Sus scrofa: one gene and its partner. The protein of the gene in region 2 interacts with the protein of the main gene of each other region in a pairwise test. Links are inferred from orthologs where the notes say so. Each region holds a gene or a part of one and is shown on either strand. Other genes may lie near its edges.

What was found. The genes of interacting proteins can lie anywhere in the genome.
Region 1: the proteins of CEP70 (region 2) and PSMA1 interact in binary tests that used the Homo sapiens proteins (3 or more experiments, as listed by UniProt). The two-hybrid records come from large-scale screens. The link is inferred for Sus scrofa from reciprocal best matches to the Homo sapiens genes CEP70 and PSMA1.

What each region holds. Positions count from the first base shown.
Region 1 is NC_010444.4:44,738,830-44,742,577, forward strand, and holds the start of PSMA1 (proteasome subunit alpha type-1), read left to right. Parts: upstream 1-1,272; 5' UTR 1,273-1,406; coding exon 1,407-1,409; intron 1,410-3,190; coding exon 3,191-3,235; intron 3,236-3,748. UniProt on the Homo sapiens protein: Component of the 20S core proteasome complex involved in the proteolytic degradation of most intracellular proteins. This complex plays numerous essential roles within the cell by associating with different regulatory particles.
Region 2 is NC_010455.5:79,384,385-79,388,132, reverse strand, and holds the start of CEP70 (centrosomal protein of 70 kDa), read left to right. Parts: upstream 1-1,192; 5' UTR 1,193-1,349; intron 1,350-3,238; 5' UTR 3,239-3,332; coding exon 3,333-3,341; intron 3,342-3,748.

The sequences.
Region 1 (3,748 bases), on a different chromosome or scaffold from region 2:
TTTCAGGAATTTATTCTAAAGGAGTATAGATGTACACATAAAAAAATATATCAAGCAGCTCATAAATGAATTTCTTGGGAGAGGGATAATTTTGGTTTTTTTTAGGGCTGCACCTGTGGCATATGGAAGTTCCCAGGCTAGGGGTCCAGCCGGAGCTGCAGCTGCGGGACTATAGCGCAGCTCTCAATAACGCCAAATCCTTAACCCACTGAGAAGGCCAAGGATCTAACCCGCATCCTCACGAGGACAATGTGGATCCTTAACCCCCTGAGCCAGACAGGGAGCTCCAGGAGAGGGCTTAAATATTAAACTTAAATATTAAACAATGGGGGTTTCGGTAAATAAAATATCATATGTTCACAATGCAGAATATCGGGAATCTTGTTTAACCTAGAAAAATTTTAATATAAAAAAGTGTCCAAAATACATGTGACAAGGTTTTTAAAGTGCGATACCAACTTGCTCTAACTTGAACAAATCATTTAAGGGAGCTGAGTCTCTTCATTGACAAAGCTTAGATCCTTAAAGACCCCTTTCAACTCTTACCTGAGTCTAGGTACTCATCCTTTCTTCTTCGTAAAGAAAAGAACTCATCATTGGCAGTCAGTAAATTTTAGGTTGGCAGCTGTTTGTAGAGCTATCCTAAACTATTTTCTCTGAGAATTTACTAAAAGATGTTCGCAAAAAGGAAAATACCTATTTCGGAAGAAGATGTCCCTCAGTTGCCTATTCTTTCAGGCATCGTGCTTGGTTTTGACGGCAAAGACATTAATGCCCTCAAAAAGTTTAAAGTCTGATAATAATGATAGTGATCAGTGACAACAACGCCTGGAAAATAAGGAGTAAGGAAAAGGATTCCAAAGTAGAAAGAAAATCATGTCCAGAAACAAGATACTCCAGGAAGAGTACCGTTGACACGAAGAAATGGACCATTATTTGTGGTCTTTTTTTGCAGTCCTGTTCTTCTCGCTACCCAACACCACAAATCTCTGTGGACGCTGAATGAGAGGCTGAGCAGTACACCAGGAATCTCGGGTGCATCCGGCCGGGCCGGTGAGAAACTGACAGGAATCTACAGCTCACAGGTAACTTCTCTGAGGATCCAAGAAAGGCGACTTGATAGTGGCCACCCAGCGACTATTAGCTCCCGCGGGCGTTCCTGGCCCAAATTTTCCCGCCAATGTGAGTTTCTCAGATTTCCCAGGCCCCGCCCACTCCCGAGCGGGCGGAGAGCTTTGAGGGCGGGGAAGCGCCGGAAGCCTATCGCTATCTCTAGAATAGACTGCTCTACCCTGCGCCGACGCATAGTCCCGCAGACTTCTCTGCAGATCGCCGAGCGGTAGTTTCGGCAGCGCTCCTTGATCTGCAGGTTTACCGGAGGCCGTGACTAGGCTCTCGCCGGAACCATGGTGCGTTGGATTCCGAGCTCAAACAGGGTTGGGGCACAGGCCCGCTGGCTGGGGGTTGGCGAGTGATCTCTCTGTCACTCTTAGAGCGGGCCGGGGCTATGGGACATGGGAACCTCAGCCGATGGGGGGTTCTGGAGTGATTCAGCATCTCTGGCCTGGCCGGCACAGGGGAAGTCGGTAGTCGGTGCGGCCTTTCCCCTGGGTTTGTTTCGCTTTCCATCCGGCCTTGAACAATACCTCCTCGGTCTGCTAGCCGAGTTCGCCCCTCAGTTTCCTTCAGTCGAGTAGATTCCGAGCGGTCCAGAGGGGCCCCTAGTGCTCTGTGTGAGAGAAAGGAAAAATTGGGATTTGACTTTTGGAATCTCCCTGTATAGCCAATAGCAGAGTTGAGAGCTCAATTCTCTTTTAGAGCTCAATCAGAAAAGGCCTTTTTTCAGTCACTTATCCAGTTAAGTATTTTTATGAAAGAGTAAACTGAAGCTGATAGAAGTGATAGAATAAGGGTTACAATATAGGGCTCAGAGCTTCCAGTCCTATGTCTACCATTCCAGCAGTCAGCCTTCTCACCCTAATGATTGGGCTCCCAAGTACTGTGCTGGCAGACTCATTTTAAGCTGTCTTTAAAGCTGTAATGGGTCCGTCTCTGTGGCTATTTGTGTCCACTTCTGACTTTCTGGGGACATTCTTGTGTGTACTCATTCTATAACAATGTTTTAAATGCACTGTTTTAACTACAGTGAAGGTTCAAAGATAAATCAGACACGTCCCTAATCGTAATATAAGGTCGAAAAAAAAGGTGTAGATAAAGGAATGGTAGGAGTATGTGTTGGGATTTGGGGAGGAAAGATGGAGAAGGCTTCAAGAGGTAGACATTTGAGGTATTTAAGGAAAAGGAATGCTTTTTTTTTTTTTTTTTTTTTTTGTCTTTTTGCATTTTCTAGGGCGGAATCCGCGGCATGTGGAGGTTCCCAGGCCAGGGGTCTAATCTAATCGGAGCTGTAGCCCCGGTCTACGCTAGAGCCACAGCAACGCAGGATCCGAGCCTCGTCTGCGACCTACACCACAACTCACAGAGGCGCCAGATCCTTATCCCACTGAGCAAGGCCAGGAATGGAACCCGCAACCTCATGGTTCCTAGTTGGATTCGTTAACAACTGAGCCACGACAGGCACTCCAAGGAAAAGGAATGCTTTTGATCGTATTAGGTCTTGGTATCAGGGAAGAGAATAAGCCAAAGATAGAAAGGAGAGTGGACACATAGGAACTTTAGTAATTGACTGAACTCAAAGGCAGTGCAATGGACAGTGGTAGAATTGGAATTTGGGAAGATAGGTCCCATCTGGCTCTGCTCTCCCCTCCCTCACAAGCTCCTTGTAAATGTAAAATTGGCTTGCAACTAAGTACAGTAGAAATCTTCCAATGAGGTTGCAGTAACAACCTTTCATTAATGTTGGATGGAAATAGACTAGAAAATTATTATTATTATTATTTTCTTTTTTTTTGCTTTTTAGGGCTGCACCCAAGGCATATGGAAGTTCCATAGGGGTCCAGTCAGAGCAGCAGCTGGAATCTGACCTATGCCACAGCTCATGTCAATGCCAGATCCTTAATCCATTGAGCAAGGCCAGGAATCAAACCCTTGTCCTGATGGATACTCGTTGGGTTTGTTACCAATGAGCCACGATGGGAACTCCAGAAAACATTTTTGAGTGATAGAGCTTGTTAAGATTTGGGTTTTGTAATGTTCTTGTATTAACAGATTTTTTTTCATTTACTTTCAGTTTCGCAACCAGTATGACAATGATGTCACTGTTTGGAGCCCTCAGGTAAAATGTTTTATACTGTTTCTACAAAGTTGCTTTTGGTGGCTGCAACTTAAAAATGTTTTGGATAGTATGCTGTGAGAAAATATAATCATTTTAGACATTCCTGTAAGTTTCCTAGTTTTAAAGAACATCGTTTGAGGTTTAGCTATTCTTACCTGAAATTTGGGATCTCTGAGTTAATTTTTTTTCTGCATTTGATCATATGGGGATATTTATGTCATTTTTAAAAAATATAATTGTTTAAAAATATAGTTGTTTTACAACGTTGTACTAATTTCTGCAGTACAGCAAAGTGACCCAATCATCCATATATATATATACACATTCTTTTTCTTGTATTACTTCCATTGTGTTCTGTCCCAAGAGGTTGGATATAGTTTCCTGTGCTATATAGTAGGATGTCATTGCTTATCCATTCTAAATGTAACAGTTTGCATCTACTAACCCCACACTCCCAGTCCATCCTACTCCCTCCCCCGTCCCCTCTAAGTTAATTTTAAATCCATGAAAGGG
Region 2 (3,748 bases):
TTGTGCACTGTGGAGACTTTTTTTTTTAAACCCAGTTTTGTAAATAGTTTTTACTGGTTTACTATATAACACATATATAGTTTTTACATATATATAAAACAAATTATGCATGAAAGCTGTGTTTGAAGATACCCAAATTAAACCCTTTCCATTTTATATTCCATTTGAAAATTGATCTATGTTTCCCCATCATCTCCAAGATAAAGTCCCAGCTCTTCAGCACATTTGCTAAGACCTTCCTCTTATTCTCCAATATGCAACACACTCCTTAGCTTCCTTAAGAAGCCCATTATATTTGCCAATGTTTTGGGAGCTAGGCTTTTGGGGAGGGCAGATATGACCTGTACCAAGGAGCTCAGGTTTAATTACAGAAAAAAAAAAAAGTGAGATTTACTGAGCACTTGTGAGCTAGGCATTGTAATAAAGTGGTTTGGAGTTATTAATTTGCACATGAGGTTTCTCCAAATACCTTCTCCTATCTGTATTACTGGGGAAATAATTCCAAATCATTCTTATGCATATTTCTAGGTTTGTAGTTTTCTGCCTTGGAAATCACCTATTGAAGCTGGGGTTCCGCCCTGCAGATTCTGATTTAATTTGTTTTGGGCTTGAGCATCATTTTCGAAGCTCCTCAGGTGATTCTAATATACAGCTGGGGTGAAGACTTTAGCGACGGATGTAAATAATCTTTCTTTCCCTTCCGTGCCCTGCATACCTTTCCTGATCATGTCTTATCACATTGCACCTTCTTTTCAGGGTGTATATCTAGCTCCCTAACTAGCCTCTGAATATCCCCAGTCAGCCACTTTTGCATTTCTGGAACGCGATTTATGGCCTGACATTTGGCGGAAATTTGGCAAATGCTGAATGGGAAGGTAAAATGTCCTCAAGACATACTTATTTCCGTGTGTGTGTGTGTGTGTGTGTGTGTGTGTGTGTGTGTGTGTGTACGCACGCGCTCGCGCGCCGACCGCCTCAAATGTGGATTTCTGAAGTTTTCCTGGCAAATGAGGACCCAGGTAAGCGAACAGCAGTTGCGAGGAGAAGGGGTCCAGCAGCTGTGGAGCACAGACGGCAAAGCCGCAACAGCAAACTATCGCTCACTTTAATGGTAAGCCCCGCCCCCAGCAGCAGAGCCAACCAGAGGGCACGGAGCAATCCCAGCCTTCCTGGGCGGTCTGAGAAAGTCGCTAGGGCTTTCAGAGCCGGAGCAGAATCGGGCTCGTCGATGAGCTCGGGCTCGATTGGCTGGCCTCCCACGGTGGAGTAACGGTCGTAGAGGCGGGGCGGGAGGCGGCTGAGCCGGCCGGGCTGGGCGAGCTGCTGTAGAGAGGCGGCAGCTGAGGAAGGTAAGCGGCCTTCGGGGTTCACAGAGGCTTTGCCTGGAGCCCCTGCTTGAGCTTCCACCGGAAATGGTCTCGTCTGCGCAATGCGAGTGGTCATACTGACCCTTACTGGGGTCCCCAGAGAGGAGCTGCCTGGGACGGGTTGGCGCCAGTTAAAAATCCCTGGATAAGGAGTTTGGGGGCGGGTGGGGGGAACCTGATCGACCTGGTCCTAGTCCTGGCTCCTCGCCCCTTGTGATCTTTGGCTCCTCATTTAACATCTCAGCGCATCAGTTTCTTCAGTTGTAGACGACAGCTGGTAAATCTTTCCTTACAAGGTGGTTGAGAAGGTTAATTGAGGTAGTGAGTGTGAAGCTTGGACGGATACCTGGCGCAGCCTGGATTCTGGATAGTTGTTGGTAGTTACTCCGTCCCCATGCGCTGGCCGGGGGGTCTCGCCCCACGTTTCAGAATCTAGGTGCCTGGGAAGGTAACTTGGCGAGTGAAGGCTCGTAGCAGAAGGTGGGGGATACACAAAGGGGTAGGTGAGTAATCCCTTCTCTGGTTTAAGTAATCTTTGCAGAGTTGGAGAGTCTCTTTATGTGGAATCTAATATGATTTTATTAAGAAAATCAGTGAGATGGAAATGTTGAAATGTAGAAGGGTTTCTGTACCACTTTATTTTCTATACATAATAATGGTAAAGACTGTGCGGGCATTACCTCTTTTGGCCTCAATCTTCTTCTGCATGAGGTTTTGTTTTGTTTTTACTTTTGGTATTGTCAAGTAGACCCGGGCCTTCCCCACCTCACCTTGGGAAAAAGGTGGCTGGCTGGCTAGGGTTTTGCCCGCAGCTTCTGCTTAGTGGCCTATTCTAACCTTTTATGTAACCTCTCCTGGGGCAGGATGATTTAATCGAGGTAAGATCCGATCCTAATTCTGTTTCCTTAGATTCGCTTCTTAGGAACGTTAAACAGTGTATTGGTATATTTTTGGGATGGCGCTTTTGCATTTAACAGACAATAGAGACTTTGAAAGCATTGCACATTCCATTTATTGCAGTAAAGTGAAATATGTGCTTTTGAGAAAGCTAATTACAGGTTTTGAGGTGACTCAAAAAAGAACAGCTACCAGCCATGCTTTATTCCCAGCTTGTCCCCAAAAAAGTAGTGAAAAGCAACTACATTTTAATGTATGGGGCATGAGCCAGGGGCTCCAAACCTATAAGGGGTAAGTTACCAAAGGGCTCTTGGGAAACCTAGACAGTGCAAACAGAACTATGTTTGGCTTCTCTGTGCTTGGTTTTCTGTGGTGTGTATGAACCAACTCCTACCCCGCAACTCCTTTTCCCACAGTTTTACTTTAGGTATCTTATGACACTGCTTAAAGCAAGCCACACCATCTGCTTTGGTCCTGGGAAGCACTGGGTCTCTTCTGGTGACTCACAGACCTGTGTCCTGGCATAGCCCGTAGTGGGGAAAATGCTGCTGCAAACTATCTGTAACATTAATTTCACAGCATAGACCTCTGAAAAGAAGGGCTTTGTCACAGGTGAAATTGATAGTTGTTCTCCTTGTCTTTGTGTTTCAGTACCAGTTGTCTGAGAGTACCCTTGCCAATGAGAATATTGTTTGAATACCTTTGAAGTCAGAATCAGATTTGATGCTAGATGATAATAGAGTTGGGCTCTCAGGTATATGTTTCAACAAAACAAAGAAAGACAAGGGGAGAGAAGGCAAGGGTGAAGGCACGTGGTGGTGAGCACTGGAGTCCATTAGCAGTTGATTCAGTAGATGCAGCTCCCTGTAGTCAGTCATTAACACCAAGAATACCTGCTCTGAGGATAACACAAATCATTCTTAATAGGAGATGAATGTTTAAGATGTGGGCCTGTTTATCTTTTTGAAACCTAGATGAAGATGCAGTTTCAGACGTGAGGCTCACTGGGTGATCATTTCATTCTGATCAACTTGAATGACCAGGTGAAAAGTGTAAGAGGAACGTGCTATGACTGAGGTATGTCTGACGCAATAAATAACTCCCTCTGGATGTTGAGAGGCTGTGGAAAGGATCTACTAATTATGGAATACTATGTATTTATTTCCTTTTGACCTCTTCATAATCCTATCAGATATTTTAAACCCAATCAAGGAAACTGAAGAGGTTAAGTAACTATTTAAGATAGTACAAGTAGCTGGTCACCAACTCTGATCACCACCTGTCTTGCTGTGTGCCAGGCACTGTTCCTTTTGCTTTTATTGTTATTTAACAAAATGTTTTTATTAAAAAATGACTTTTTATTATGAAATCAAACAGAAAAGAACACATATACCAAATGTATAGCTTAATGAATTATTAAAATCTGATACCACCCAGGGTAGGGTGGAGAACTATGCTAGCTAGCCATGCCAAGAATTTGCTTA